2 linked regions of the Notamacropus eugenii genome follow. The protein of the gene in region 2 interacts with the protein of the main gene of each other region in a pairwise test. Links are inferred from orthologs where the notes say so. Each region holds a gene or a part of one and is shown on either strand. Other genes may lie near its edges.

Region 1 (7,192 bases), on a different chromosome or scaffold from region 2:
TTAGAACACAAGATTTAAGTGTTGGAAGGGACCTTAGAAACCATATTATTTCCTCATTTTATAGAAGAGGAAAATTAGGTCCTGAAAGGACCTAGTCTAAGGTCACATAGCCAGTCACCAGTAGATATAATTTAAAATCCAGCGTTATATAGAGTCAGAGCAGAACTTCAGATAACAAGGATCTTAATAAACACTCAAATTGTACTCCATACCTCTTTTAGCATAAATTACATTCTAAATATTGTATTATAGATGTTTGAATAACTGACATTCCGCCTATTGGGCTATAAGCTCCCTGGGGACAGGATCCAAGTCTTTATTCATCATTATATTTGTTGGAATTCAAAGCACAGTGACTTACACAGAGAACACAGTTAACGTTTATTAAATGTGAAAATCAACTCCCCCTTTAAAAGCCTTATAGTGTAAGAAGCCTTCACCCCAAGATGACCTCATAGAATCACAGCCCTCTGACCGAGAAGCTCACAGAAAAATATATATATTATATAAGATGCTATTTTTGTTGATCTTATAGTACTGAGGCTTCATAAATGTTTGCTAAGTTGAAGTAAATTTACCTCAAAGCATTTCACTCACTAAATAAGAACAACTCATTATGCTTTGGGTAATTTTGCTGAACTGACATTTTTTTCCCGTTTCTTTTTATACTTTGTAACAAACGAAGGTTCCTGGAGGAACGGAAGGGTGAATGACCATATTTGGAAATGAACTTAATGAAAAAAATCAAACAATATATATTAAAAGAAAGACATGAACATATTTCATTCAATGTCATTGTTTGCTGGGAATAAAGATCTGGAACTCAGAAACTACGGGTTTAACAAATAATAAGTAGAAGGGCCCCTTTCTAGATAACTAAGTATTCTCTCCAAAACACACACTTCCTAGGAACCACAGAACCAAAGAGGGCCTGAGTTAGAACAATGAAAAAAGAACATGGATGGAACATTAGAATTACTAGATCAAATTCTATGAGGGGAAGGATTGTGAATGTTAATGTCAGAAAGGACTTTAAAGATCATCTAGTCCAGGCCTGCATAACCTTTGGTCTGACAAAGGATTTCCAGCAGCCGGTGAAAAACGTAGAGAAAAACAACTGTTGTATGTAGAGGAAATCCTTTGGCATGCCTCAAGTTGCCCATGGGCTCTGTCCCAAGGGCTGAAGGTTGTGAAGGCCTGATTTACTCTATTGTCCTCATTTTATAGACAGGGAAACTTGGCCTAGAAATAAATGCCTACAAAAAGTTGCAGTTTATACAGAGCTAGGTGCTCAGAGCTATATGCCTGCAGAAATCTAGCACCTAGATTTCCTGACTCCCTTGCACAGTACCTGGTATATTAAGAACTTAATAAATACTTTATTTAGCTATCATCTATCCCAAGACCAAAGCTCTTCCCACTGTATTGTGCTTCCTTTTATCATTTCCAGGTGATGTGTGCTGGTACACATCTAAGTGTACAATATGTCTGGGCATAAATGTTTCCTCAAAATCCACTAAGGTTGGAGTGCAGTGGGTGGGAGAGGGATGGTGTTCAGGACTAGAACAGAGAAGAGTTTTATGAATGTAAGTATAAGAAGCCTACTTTACCTGCCCTCCCCTCTTCACATCCCAAGCTTCCCAAACCATCCCCCTCCTCACTTGATCTTCCTGAACTCGTCACAGTCACACAGGATCAGGTTCATGTGCTTGTCAAAGGCCTTGAAGGTGCCGATGAAAATGCGGCCATCCTGCAGGATGCACCTCATCCTGTAGTCGATGTGCTGCAGCATCTTGCTGCTCTTGCCCACCGTCTGTGGAAACAGAGAGAGAAAAGTATTGACTCCAGACCCTGGACTGACTAAACACTGCCAGGCGCTCTTTCTACCCCTGTTCCTTTTCCATCAGCTCTCTCTCTTCTCTTCTGAACCAAGATCCGCAGTGCTTCCTCTCCACTGTGAGGTCTTGACCCTTTATCTTTTCCCAAACATCCTAGCCTACACCTCCCCCAATTATATGATTCTGACACCACACAAACACACTCTGGGCTCTTAATCCCTAGGAATGGATCCATCATCTCTGACCCAGTTCTATGATCTTGTCATCCTCCCCACACCCTCCCCCAAACCTCAGACCCCCTTAGTAGTATCCCACATCTCTGGTTTATACCACCTTCTCTCCTCTGACCCCCAGCTGCCTTCTGGCGGGTCAGCCTCCTAAAGGGCGGGTCTGACCACTCCCCGCATGCCCCTCCCCCAGTAAACTCCAGGGGTTCCTTGTTACCTCCAGGATCAAATAAAAAGCCCTCAGACTTTTAAAATTCTTCACCTTAAGCCCCCCCCCCCCGCCCCTGGCCATTTCTCAACAAGACGCCCCATTTCCCTGTTCTGGGCATTTTCGCTGGCCCTTCCTTCATTCCCTCCTGATCTTTTTTTAGTTTTCCTGGCTTTCTTCAAGTCCCTTCTGCAAGGACCTCAGCGCTAGTCCTTCCCCGGTGATCACCTCCCACTTAGCCTGCACAGAGCTCGCACGCACACGGCGGCTCGCTTATGGTCTCCCCCATCACACGGTGAGCTCCTGCGGAGCAGGGTCCGTCTTCTGCCTTTCTTTGTACCTCCAGCGTTTAGCGCCAGACGGAGCACAGAATAAGGACTTCATAAATCTGTGTGGTCTGACTTCACCTCGGCCACTTCAACCACGGAAAACCGGCCAACCCACCCCCCGCCGCCGGCAGGACCCTGACCTCTGACCCCTCCGGTCGCTCGGCCCCGCCTTCGGCAGCGTCCTCACCATCCCCGCGATCCCCGGCCCCGTCCCCGACTCGTCCAGGCCTGTGTCCCAGCCCAGGCCTAGTTTTTCCAGAGATCCCAAGCTTACCATGATGCCGGCTACGAAGTGCCCCGACTTAGAAAAAGGAGCCCCCTTCGGCGGCCGCAAACACGAGGAGCTCCAGAGGAAAGTGCCCGCCCCCTAGCTTCCGGCTGTAACGGAAATTCGAAAAAGACTATAGCCCTTGGAACGGGGAGGACACGTGACCGACCTTGTTTCCCTCAGCCGCCATATTGGGTGAGGGCAGGCGCCCTTTCCCCAGAGCAGAAAGGCTTCTTGGGAACGTTCCAGAACTAGAGGCTTCCCGAAGTGGAGAGCTCTTGTGGGAGCTCTCCAGCAGCGGCCAGCCCCCTGTCTACGAAGGACCGAAGAAGGGAACTCTCTCGTTCCTTTTTCTTGTTTTTTGTATCACCAACTCTTAGAGCAGTGCCTTACCCATAGGAAGCACTTAATAAATGTTTATTGCTGGGTGATATTGATTTTGGAACTGTCACTCTATTGTGAAGATGCCTCCAAGTCTATGTGGTTGCCAGAAATCTATATACGGGATAAATTGGAGAGAATCTCAGAGGGACGGCACTACAAATAAAAGGGAATCAGGAAAGGTTTCCTTGATTATCACTATTATCTTTCACAGAGCTGCCACAATCATCTCAAGGCACAGTTCTGAGCCTGTCTCTTCCCTGACTCCCAAATCTGCAATATTCTCTTATCCCCCCTAATGTTTAATAGAGACTCCTCAACTTTTCATTTAAGGCCCCTCTTAATCTGAGCCCCAATCTTTAAAAAATAGTCTATTTTTAAAAATTAATATTTAGTTTTAACATTTTTAAAATTTTAAATTCTGAATAAGGTCTCTCCTGCCCCTTTCCCAACCACTGAGAAGCCAGATTATGTGATAGCAATTACACATATTAAATAATGTGAAACATATTTCCTTTTAAGCTACTTTTCAAAAAAAGCAAAAAAACCCATAAAATGTTTTAAAAAATTATGCTTCCATCTGTATTCAAATTTCATCAGTTCTCCCTCTGGAGGTCAATATCATTTTTCATCATAAGTCCTTCAGAATTGTTTTGGATCTTTGAGTTCATTGGAATGGCCAAGTCATTCATAGTCAAACAGCATATAGTATTGCTGTTATAGTATTGTGTGTATAATTTTCTTCCAGTTCTGCTAGCTTCACTTTGTACCAGTTCATGTAAATCTTCCCAGGTTTTTCTGAAGGCTTTCTCCTCTTCATTTCTTCTACCACAATAGGATTCCATCACAATCATATACCTCAACTTACGCATTCATTCCCCAATTGATGGGCAACCATCAATTTCCAATTTCTTCACCACCACTAAAATAGCTGCCATAAATATCTGTGTGTATGTGGATATAGATATACATGTAGATATAGATACATAGATATAGATATGTCCTTTTTCTTTTTTCTTTGAGCTCTTTGGGATACAAACTTAGTAGTGATATTTCTGGGTCAAAGGGTATGCACAGTTCTATAGCTCTTTGGATGTAGTTTGATACCAACCTTCCTAACTTTGTTTCACTATATTCTTCCTTCACACATTTTTTTGTGATTGACAGACAGGACTGCTAAGTGTTCTCTGAACTAAACATTCTATCTCTGGCCTAGGGCTCCATATGAACAAGTGGTCCCCAAACACTGAAATGTACTATCTCCATGAGTGCCTCCCATTATATCTATGAAGGTATCCCTTCTACATGGGTGCCCTCTCAAATTCCTACCTACTTTAGGCTCAGCTCAGTTGCCATCTCCTCTGTGAAACCTTCCCTTATGTCCCCAGTTGTCAGTACTCTCTCCTCAATGTAATTGCATTTACTTATCTATGTATGGTAAAGAATATAAGCTCCTGGAGGGCAGAGACTCTTATTTTTGTCCTTCTTTCCACATTGCCTAGCCCAGGGGCTTGACTTAATGTTTAAGAAATGTTTAACTGAATGACTAATCAAGTATTTGTCAGAAATCATATATGTGCCAAAGCACCCAAAAGAAATAAGATATAATCCTTGCATTGGACGTAAAGGCACAAGAAAGCAGTTTAATGCTTGTTATAAAAGTTGTAAATCTGCAAGCTGTTTTTAGGAAAATCATGTCTAACAATTTGCGGTGCTTCAAGTCCCAAGACGAACTGGAGCACTTCACCTTCCTCTCCTCTAAGTTCTAGACCCAGGCTTATGCAGCCCATTTTCAATCCTGAGCAAGCCTAACCAACTAAAAGAAAGGCTGAACTTTTCTTTTCTCATTCTTTCACTCCTTAGGTCCCCACATTGGCACTCCAGGGAAAATTATATATATCTTAGGTTTGGCTCATGTCTTCCAAAGTGTAGAGTAAATAGAAAGGTACCCAATGTACAGTATAAATCAGGGATAAATAGGTATTTTTTTCCTCTGTATGAAAGAAATGCTTAACATACACAAGACTCACAAGCTTACATTGACAGAAAGATTTAAAGTAATATTTGGGATCTATAACTGCTGTTATACTTTCCTAGGAGGTTGAGACTTAAGACCATCAAAATCCAACCGGGCCCTCACTGCAACAAACAAATCTCGTTTTTTGACATTTTGACATTTTATGATTTTATATCTTTTTAATTTATTCACTATCCCACAGCAGCTTTTCCAAACCTTTTCAGCCCTCCTCAAAGCTCCTGTGACTCCTTCTCTCCCCATAGATAAAGTGAGCCAACCTAGCACCCCAAGGGAGAGACAGGAGGTAGAATACGCCAAACAAGTCAAACTACCACTGCCACCTTAATCTATGTCTCCCTTCAGACCTTGACATAGACAGCCCAGAATCCTGAGTCCAAGAGCTTTGCAACTAGCAGTGTTTCCAAGTCATTGCCCATAGCCTGGGAAACAACCTCTATGTAGCCTAGACACAAATACTAAAGACCCAGAAAGAAAAGTCCTTGCTACCAAAGTCCTTGGCAATATCAAATGGTTCAACATCAGAAACAGATAAGATTTTATCAATGGAAATTCCATGAAAGAAGAGGCATTATAATTTGCTTTGCTGTTACACCCTAAGGACCATGGGACCTTTCCATCTGACTTGCCCCTGAAACTTCCCATATGACAGCAGATGTCACAATACTTTGGAATTGTGATCATGGTTATCACTGTGATAATCAAATATTGAGGCAGCTAGGTGGAATCGTGGATTGGAGTCAGGAGACACCTCAGTTCCAATCTAGACTTCCATATTTATTAGTTGTATGATCTCAGGAAAATCTTTTAACCTCCGTCAGCCCCAGTGTCCCCAGCTTCAAAATGGTGATAACCACACCTACCTCCCTTGTTGTAAGGATTAAATGAAATAATATCTGTAAATCTCTTAGTATAGTTCCTAGCACATAGTAAGTATTTAAATGTCTAATTGCTTCCATGATCAGAGTCCTTAAGCTTTTCAAAATAGTTTATCTTTGCAATGTTTTTTATCATTACATAATTTGTTCTTCTGGTTCTGTTCACTTCACTAAATAATAGTAGTTCATACTAGTCTTCCCAGATTTCTGTGAAATCATCTTTTTTAGCATTTCTTACTCTTAATAGTACTCTGCTACATTCAACCCATAATTTGTTTTGCCATTCCCAGTTAATGGCCACTCCTTCAGTATCAAGTTCCTTGCCACCAGAAAAAGAGCTACTATGGGTTTTTTTTAGGTCCTTTTTGATCTTTGGGGTATAGGCCAAATTTTGTTATCATTGAGTCAATAAGTTGAGAAGTTTTGGTAGCATAGTTCCAAATTGCTCACCAGTGGTTTAACCTCTAATTATGAATATAATAGTTTAGAAAAGTCTTTTACAACTAGTGTGGTTGTGCAGAAATATGAAGTGCTACTTGCTAATTAAAGGAATTTATTTAATTAATTATATACTTTGCTTCTATGCCTCATTTGTCTTCTCACTTTGGAAGTTCTCTGGTTTCCTGGGGTCTTCTCACAGAGATTCCCAAACCTATTTGGCCTATGACTCACTTAAAAAAAAAATTACTCATCCCCCCCCATTAGGTTAGATTAACCCTTATTTTTTTCAATGCTCCCCAATTGCACCGGAAGATACTACCACCCCCTGTAAACACCCCCCCCCCCCATCGTTCCAGTGCCCTCTAGAGGATAATATTGCCCACTTTGGGACCTTATGCCAAGAATATCTGTCCACCATGCAGGCCCCATGACCTGCTTCTCCCCTTGATGAGTGCCATCTGGGATCATTGCTTCAAAGATGGCCCAGGATGACCATGCTTTGCTTTTCCATTAGTTTGTAAATTTCTTGATAGTAGAGATTGATTTTTACCCCTTTTTTATATTACTAGATCTTAACACAGTACCTG
Region 2 (7,278 bases):
AAAACTGCATGAATAAAAATTGTTTTAAACTTTAAAGCAAATGCACAGAAGAGGCAATGGTTTATAGTATAGAATGCTTAAGTAGTTTGTCCAAGAGAACTGCAGAACAGTTAGATTAGAGGTCATAAACTTCTTTCCCCACACTACTCCATCAATCTTTCTAGGAACGAAGAACTAGATTAGTCTTTGATGCTACAAAACTTGGTATTGCTACTGAGACCTCCAAAAGCTATGAGTAAATTGATTCTTTTTTTTTTTTTGATGAAAAATCTTTACTTTGGATGCCTGATTAATATGCAGAGAACCAAACAGTAAGGGTTCCCAGTATTTTACTCTTTAAACTTAAACTTAAAATACTGCCCCCCCAAAAGGGAAAGTTATACTATACCTCCAAATAAAACTAATTCCTTAATGTTAAAAAAAAAAAATTTAAGCTATATGGTCTCTCCAGTACAAAGTTCCCAGAAGTAACAGACCAGAGCTTAACTATTCCATGTCTTAGTTACAATGTGGCGATTAGCCTTAGTGTGGTATAAAGTTATCACTTCAACATCAAAGTGGGGTCTGCTGGTTTTCACTAACTCCTTTTTGATTTAAGCTCTAATTCCTAATAGAAAATTTTAAAAAATATTCTATGAGATCTGTAATCTAGAACTTATTTGTAGAATGCGTTTTCCCAAACCCCTTGATAAATCAAGAAAAGTTTCCGTTAAGTTTCAGATCACTTTCCACCCCACTAGATGCTATTACCTACAACTTCTGTGCAGTATATGCAGACTTAAAAAAAAAAATGTATGAGATGTGTATCTTCTCAAGTTTTAAAGCAATAGCTTATGAAGTTCCCAATTAAGTTGATGATCATTTTCATAAAAAGTGACAAATCAGCTGAAAGAAATTCAAGGCATCTTTAAAACTTGCTTTTCTTTATTTTGTAATCCAATTAATTTTCAATACAGCAGCAGTTTAACAACATAACACTAAATTAAAGAAAATAATTTACCATTTCATACTGGATGCCAACTACCCAAAAAGATAAATTTTGAACCAACCATTAAACAAATATCTTATCTATAAATTAATTTAAAATGCTCAATCCTTTTCTCTTAGTTTTAATAGGAAATCAGACTTCCTAACCTCAGATGAGAAACTCAGGCTAAGAAGCTTTCCATGAAATCATTCCAAGCCAACAATTGTAACCTTAAACCGATGACATGCTTACAATGCACAGACTATATAAATATTTATACATGCTACCAAGAAGGGTAAATCAGTTGACATTCAGCAATTAAAGCTGCCTCTCTGAAGTTGCAATACTTAAAGGTTAAAGATTAGACATGCTCCCTCTTGTGTTAAACTAAGAATGCATGCTGTTTTCTCTGACATGCCAGTGCCACAGCCATCTGTTCCATTAAGTAAACCCTTTAAACTTTGGCTACTCATTCTCCCACCAAATCTTCCAGTTTAAAAGTAAATTAACTTTGCGCCCTGTACTGTGTATACACTGCCTTATTGGGGGACGGGATCAGCAATATCATAGTTATTATTTACCGCATAACACCCAAAATTGCATTGTTCACAATGAAATCCTTAGCGCCAAACATAAACAAAGTGCCAGGAAGATAAGGCTTGCCTTCAGTTCTCATGGATAATAATTCATATACTGAACAAATCCTGTCTCTCAAGTAACAGAAACCTGACCGTTGGGAACCAGAAAAACCTCCCTGGCCGGGTCAGACTTCCAACAATCCTTCCCGAAGGGCTCCCACGAGGCCAAGGATCCCTTTTATAGTCTCCACCAAATGAAGGGGACACGTTTTTGGAGGCGCTGGGGGCACGAAGTGGCGATCAGACAGGGTTTCTGAAGCTTCGAGTTTTGACAGACGGGGGAGGGCAGGAGTTCAGAGGGCATAAAGAGACATTTTGGCGAAGAGAATCAAGAAATGCGCTTAGTGACAACGCGGGGTGGCCGCCGCCTCCAAGACGCGAGCAGGTTGGGGGGTTAACCGCACCGTCGCCGCTCCCCGCCCCCCGTCCTTAGTGCGAAGGGGAGAAGAAGCCTCCGCAGCCGGCTCGGCCGGCGCAGCCCCAGCCCGGGTCAAGTCCCGGAGCGGGGTGGGAGGGGAAGCCACCTCTGGATTCCGGAGGGGGGTCTCCCTCCCCCCGAGGCCCGTCCCGCACCGGCTGCGCCCCCGAGGGGGAAGCGGGAGCAGCGGCTCCGGAGCTGGGCCGGGGGAAGGGAGAGCCCCAGCCCCGGCCGAGCGCTTGGGAAACCCGCCGGCCTGGTTCCCGGGACGGGGAGAGGCAGAGACGCATTCTTATTAAGAACGGGGAGGGGCTGGACGGCCGCAGAGAAGGAAGCCGCTGGGCCCCGAAGTTTTCCGAGAGTTGTCGGGCCACCCCCGGGAGTGCACGAGGACATTCCTAGACGGCCCGGCCCGCCTCCGAGCAGAGATCCCTCCGCCCCTCTCCTGCACGCGGAGGGAGCCCAAGAGCAGCTCGCTCCGCCGACCCAGAGCGCGCCCGGGGTGGGGGTGGGAGAGAAAACGGGAGCGCGCGGCGCGGGAGGGGGCTGGGGGCGGGGCCGAGCAGCGGTTGGGGCGGTTAGAACATTAGGAACGTCTCGGCAGTAGGGCCGCCCACTCCGGAGCCGGGACTGGGGGGCCTGCCCACCCCCGTACCCTCCCACCTTCCTGCGCCCAGATCCCAGGCCCGCCTCCCTTCCTGGGTCCTGGCTGCTCTGCCTTTCCCCCCACCTCGGCGGCTGCCCGCACCCGCGTGGGAGGCACAGAGGAGGGAAAGGAGCAGGGGCAAGGGAAGGGGAACTCACTGGGTTCTGAGGAGGGGGTCTCAGCAGGGTTAACCCTGTTCCCGCCACCAGCGTCGCTGCCTCCTGTGTGTTCAATTCACTCCCCTCCTCGACACCCCCACCCAGCTTCCACACCCCCTTCGCCCCTCCCCCACCCAAGCAACTTACTATCTCCCCGAACACCGCAAAACTCCTCAAACTCCCCACCCCCTCCGGACACGCCCCCTCTCCCTACCCACCCCTGTGCCCCCTTGCTCCCGCCTCCGCCATAGTCCGCTCGTTTGGTTTGCTGAGGAAGCTGTCAATCAAGGAGAGCTTTCTCTCCTTATTGGGTCGAGAGCCTGCCAGTACATTCCAGAAGTTCCTGGTTTCCCACCCCGAAAAGTGGTCCTGCATAGGGGCGTCCCTGATTGGCCCCCATGACCATCTAAGGCTCGGAGGGCGTCTTCAGTAGCCCAAGCAATTTTATACACTCGTTTGTGAAGCTAGAAGCACCTTTCGTCAGGGTCTCCATGTTTAGAATAAAATTTGTCATTGACCGCAGCCCCTAGCCATTAAATATGTGGGAAATGGAAACGTCAATCAGTCTACCTGGCTGGCCCCGCCTATCACGTCAGAGTCAGAAGGAAACTAGGTCCCTGATTGGCCCCTGGGCGACCCCGGGCCAATTGGGAATCATCACTGTAGCCCTGGCGTCTCAAAAACGAAATACGCCTTCCTCCTTTCTTTTCGGTCCAGTAAAAAACGTCTTCATAGCCTACGCTTTCCTATGATTGGAAGAGAATCATGAAAGGAGGGAGTTGATTGGACTATCCCGTCGTCCTTTCACGCATCCCTGCCCAGAGCTGTGCGTTCTTCCGCCACCACAGGCGGTTGGGCGGAAGCGATTGGCTAAAACGCCTGCTCCCTCCCGGTAATGGGTGGAGGCGAGGTGGGAGGGAAAGGAGAGCTGTCTGTTACCCGTCATGCACCGCGCCCCGGAGGTGGCTCCCTTTGGTCTGTAATGTTTTGGCCAATCCAAAATGGCGGTGCAGGAATCAGCTGCTCAGCTTTCCATGACCCTGAAGGTGCAAGAGTATCCAACCCTCAAGGTGGGTGCCGAGGGACCCGCCTAAGGGGAAAAAACGCTCCGCCGCCCCCCTGCAGGAGGAAGACTGGCTAGCCAGGGGCCACACCACGGCGCCACCCGGAGCGGGTGGGGACTCGCCTCCCCCACTGGAGCGGAGGGCGCGGGGTCTGTCCACGCCCCCGGCGGCCCGGGCTGGGGCGGGGACGGCGAGCGCGGGCTCGGGGCCGGGGACCCTCTAGCCAGGGGGGGGGCCGGGAGGATGGCGCCCTGGCTGGGGCGGAGGGTGGGGGGTTGGGGTGGGGTGATGTGGTGGGGGTGACCGCCCAGTCATTGCGGGGAGAGGGGGAGGGGGACCACTGGGGGCTTCCCCGCCCCGTCTGGGAAGGGTTAATGGGGTGAGGGGCACCAGGGGAGGAAATGAATCTGGACGGCCCCCCACCTGCCTCCGGGATGCCCTGTCTTTTTACTTAAAATAATGACCCAGAGGCCCTTGTAGGGGGGAGTACGGGGCTGAGGAGCGAGCGTCCGCGGATCCCGAGCCTTCCTGGGGCTAACACCGCCCAGAGACGTGTAGGATCGCGCATCTCGGGGGTCATCCAGCCCAGCCCCCTCCCTTTTGCAGACAAGGAAACTGAGGTCCGGGGAGGGGAGGGGAGTTACCCACTGAGCAGCATTTGAACCCAAGGCGTAGTGGCTCTTACTTCGATCTTGGAAGGAGCCTTAGAGGTCATCCAGTCCGACTCTTTCATTTTACAGATGGGGAAAGGAGATGGCTATCACACAGGTATTAAATTACTAGGCTGGGATTTGAATCCAGGTCCTTTGACCCCCAATTTAGCTTGCTTTCTTCCACTCACTGTACTTGGCTGCCTCACCCAGTCCTGAGGGAGAATAAATCGTCGGGTTTAGACCTAGAAGGGGCCTTAGAGGTCGTCCAACTCCCTCATTTTACGAAGGAGAAAACTGAGGTTTGGAGAAAGGAAGAGACCCAAGGTTATACTGTAATTAGACCAAGGAATTTTCACCAAATGTTCTGATTTCAAATGTAGGACATTTTAGGTTACACCACAACTGGCTAAGAATGATTTGTGGGAGGTGGGGAAGGAAGTCACTTGGAAAGTAAAGGGAAGATTGTTCTGTTGAGGTTGTGTTTAGAGCCCCAGCTGTTTCCAAGTAAGTATCACATGACAAGGTGATGAGTTCTAGCTGAATTCTTGGGGTAAACTAATGGAAAAAGAATCCTAAAACGGGGGAGGGAGGGACGTCTTTTACAGATTTCATGACTATCCTGTATGCTCCTTGTCACTCATAAGATCATTTATTCTCCTCCAGTTGAAGCATTGTTTAAATCATTCATTCCTTTAAGAAACATTTATTGAATATTATCTGTATAGGACACTATGCTCTGTCCTGGAGGAGATAAAAATTGTAGATAAGACAGTCCCTATTCTCATGTTACAGTTTCTTAGGATTTGATAAGGCACACGCACAGATAATCATATTTCAGTGACATCTAATTTCATCTCCTTTGATAGCAACCCTTCTGTGATTTAGTAGAAAGTCTTCAAGACTTTTAGTGACCAGAAATCTATCACCACGCAGACATTCTGGTGATGAGCTTCTCTATATTATGCTGCCCATCACTAGACCCATAAAGTCTGTCTTATAGATACCTATAAGGTATATAAATATATCTATATTTAGATAGTTCTGTGATTACTTAAGATTTTTTGTTCATGGCATTTAATTTCCCACTTTAGTGCCTTTGTACTGGTAGTCCCCCTATATCTGGAATGCACACTTCTTCGTACCTTTCTTTTAGAATACCCAGTTTCTTCTAAGTGATGACACTTGCTCAGTTGTTAGTGCCTTTTATGTCTTGAAATTATTTTTGCATTACTTTGTATGTACCCTGTATTTGAAAACTTGTACATATTGTATCTACTTTTTTCCAATGGCTTGTCAACTGCTTAAGGGCAGGGACTATTTTTCTTTCCGTTTTTGTATATGCAACACCTAATGAGGTGCCTTATACTAGTGAATCTTTAATAAACATTTGTTGGATGAAAGGGATTTAAAGTTGAAAAGAACTTTAAAGACCATCTTGTGTACCTCCTCATTTTACAGATGGGGAAACTTAAGTTTAGAGGGAAATGATCCTCCCAGGGTAACACAGAGAATGGTTCTCCTTTGAATTCAAGATCAGTTGAACACAAATTAAAGTTGTATGACACTCTCCATTCAATGAATAGCTCTGTGACCTTGTATAAATCACCTACAGTACATACCATTATCATTAACTTCTCTTAATAAGAGGAAACAAATTTATTTCTTAATATATTTGCACCACACATATATAACATACCTTTGATCATTAATAAGTAGAGTGCAGTATCCAAGACCTTTTGGATCCAACTCTTAAAATTTCAAGGTCATGATAACTATTAGAAATATATTTAAATGGCTTTTTGTTTTGAAGATCAGCATAGTGAAGAAAAAAGAACACATCTGGAGTCATCGGATCTAGGTCTAAATTCCCACCCTTCTACTTCCCACCTGTGTGACTTTGAGCAAGCTCTTTCACTGGAGCCTCAATTTCCTCATCTGTAAAATGAAAGGTTTGAACTAGCTGTGCTCTAAAGTCTCTTGCAGCTCTGAATTAACCAATCAGCAGAAGTAATGGATTCAGTTCCTGGCAGGCCACAACTTTGTTGCTTTCCAGAAGAGCAGGCTGCACTCCTTAATCCTGGTGAGCCATTAAGCTAGTTATAAGCACCACCGAATGAGAGTGTTTATGAATTACAGTGACTCTGTCTACCCTTTTGGAAATCATTTAGAGGATTATCTGCATAATGTCAGTATTGGAAAGATAGCACACTCATGGGATTCTAATAAATAACACACATTTGAGTATCTGTGAAGAAGATAGATAAGAAATAGAACCACATCTGTGTTCCACAAACTGTAGGTGAAATGATGCAAATGTGGAAGATTAGTGTCTCTTTTAGGCCAAATTATCATAGGTGATTATCATAGAAAAAGAAAAGAGTGTGCTATGGCTTTACATAGTGACAGATTTGAAATAAGCCAGGAAGAAATATGAAAGGGAGGAAGAACGCTAAATTCTTGATTCTCGATGACTGTTTTTATTTACTGACAATAAAAGGGGTTGAAATCATAGCTTTTCTCAGTTTTTGGCTTAGGAGCACTATCTACACTCGAGTCACTGAATAAAGAAATTGCCATGAAGAAAAAACTTCCCTCTTTTTGTGGCATAATTTAATGGAAAGTAAACAGAAAGGAAATTAGTTTCCCCAAAAGGAGGCACATTGATAGGTATTTGTTACTTAATAATTCAAAACGTGTCATTTGAATCAAAGATCTATTCAACATTCTTTGATTA

The links. The genes of interacting proteins can lie anywhere in the genome.
Region 1: the proteins of CTBP1 (region 2) and small nuclear ribonucleoprotein-associated protein N interact in a two-hybrid assay, tested with the Homo sapiens proteins (2 studies listed by BioGRID and IntAct). The link is inferred for Notamacropus eugenii from reciprocal best matches to the Homo sapiens genes CTBP1 and SNRPN.

What each region holds. Positions count from the first base shown.
Region 1 is NC_092872.1:476,050,690-476,057,881, reverse strand, and holds the start of small nuclear ribonucleoprotein-associated protein N, read right to left. Parts: upstream 3,094-7,192; 5' UTR 2,880-3,093; coding exon 2,877-2,879; intron 1,814-2,876; coding exon 1,662-1,813; intron 1-1,661.
Region 2 is NC_092877.1:48,808,576-48,815,853, forward strand, and holds the start of CTBP1 (C-terminal-binding protein 1), read right to left. Parts: upstream 3,018-7,278; 5' UTR 2,975-3,017; exon of another isoform or gene 2,828-2,974; intron 1-2,827. Other genes in the region: E3 ubiquitin-protein transferase MAEA, read left to right, coding at 3,829-3,897. UniProt on the Homo sapiens protein: Corepressor targeting diverse transcription regulators such as GLIS2 or BCL6. Has dehydrogenase activity. Involved in controlling the equilibrium between tubular and stacked structures in the Golgi complex.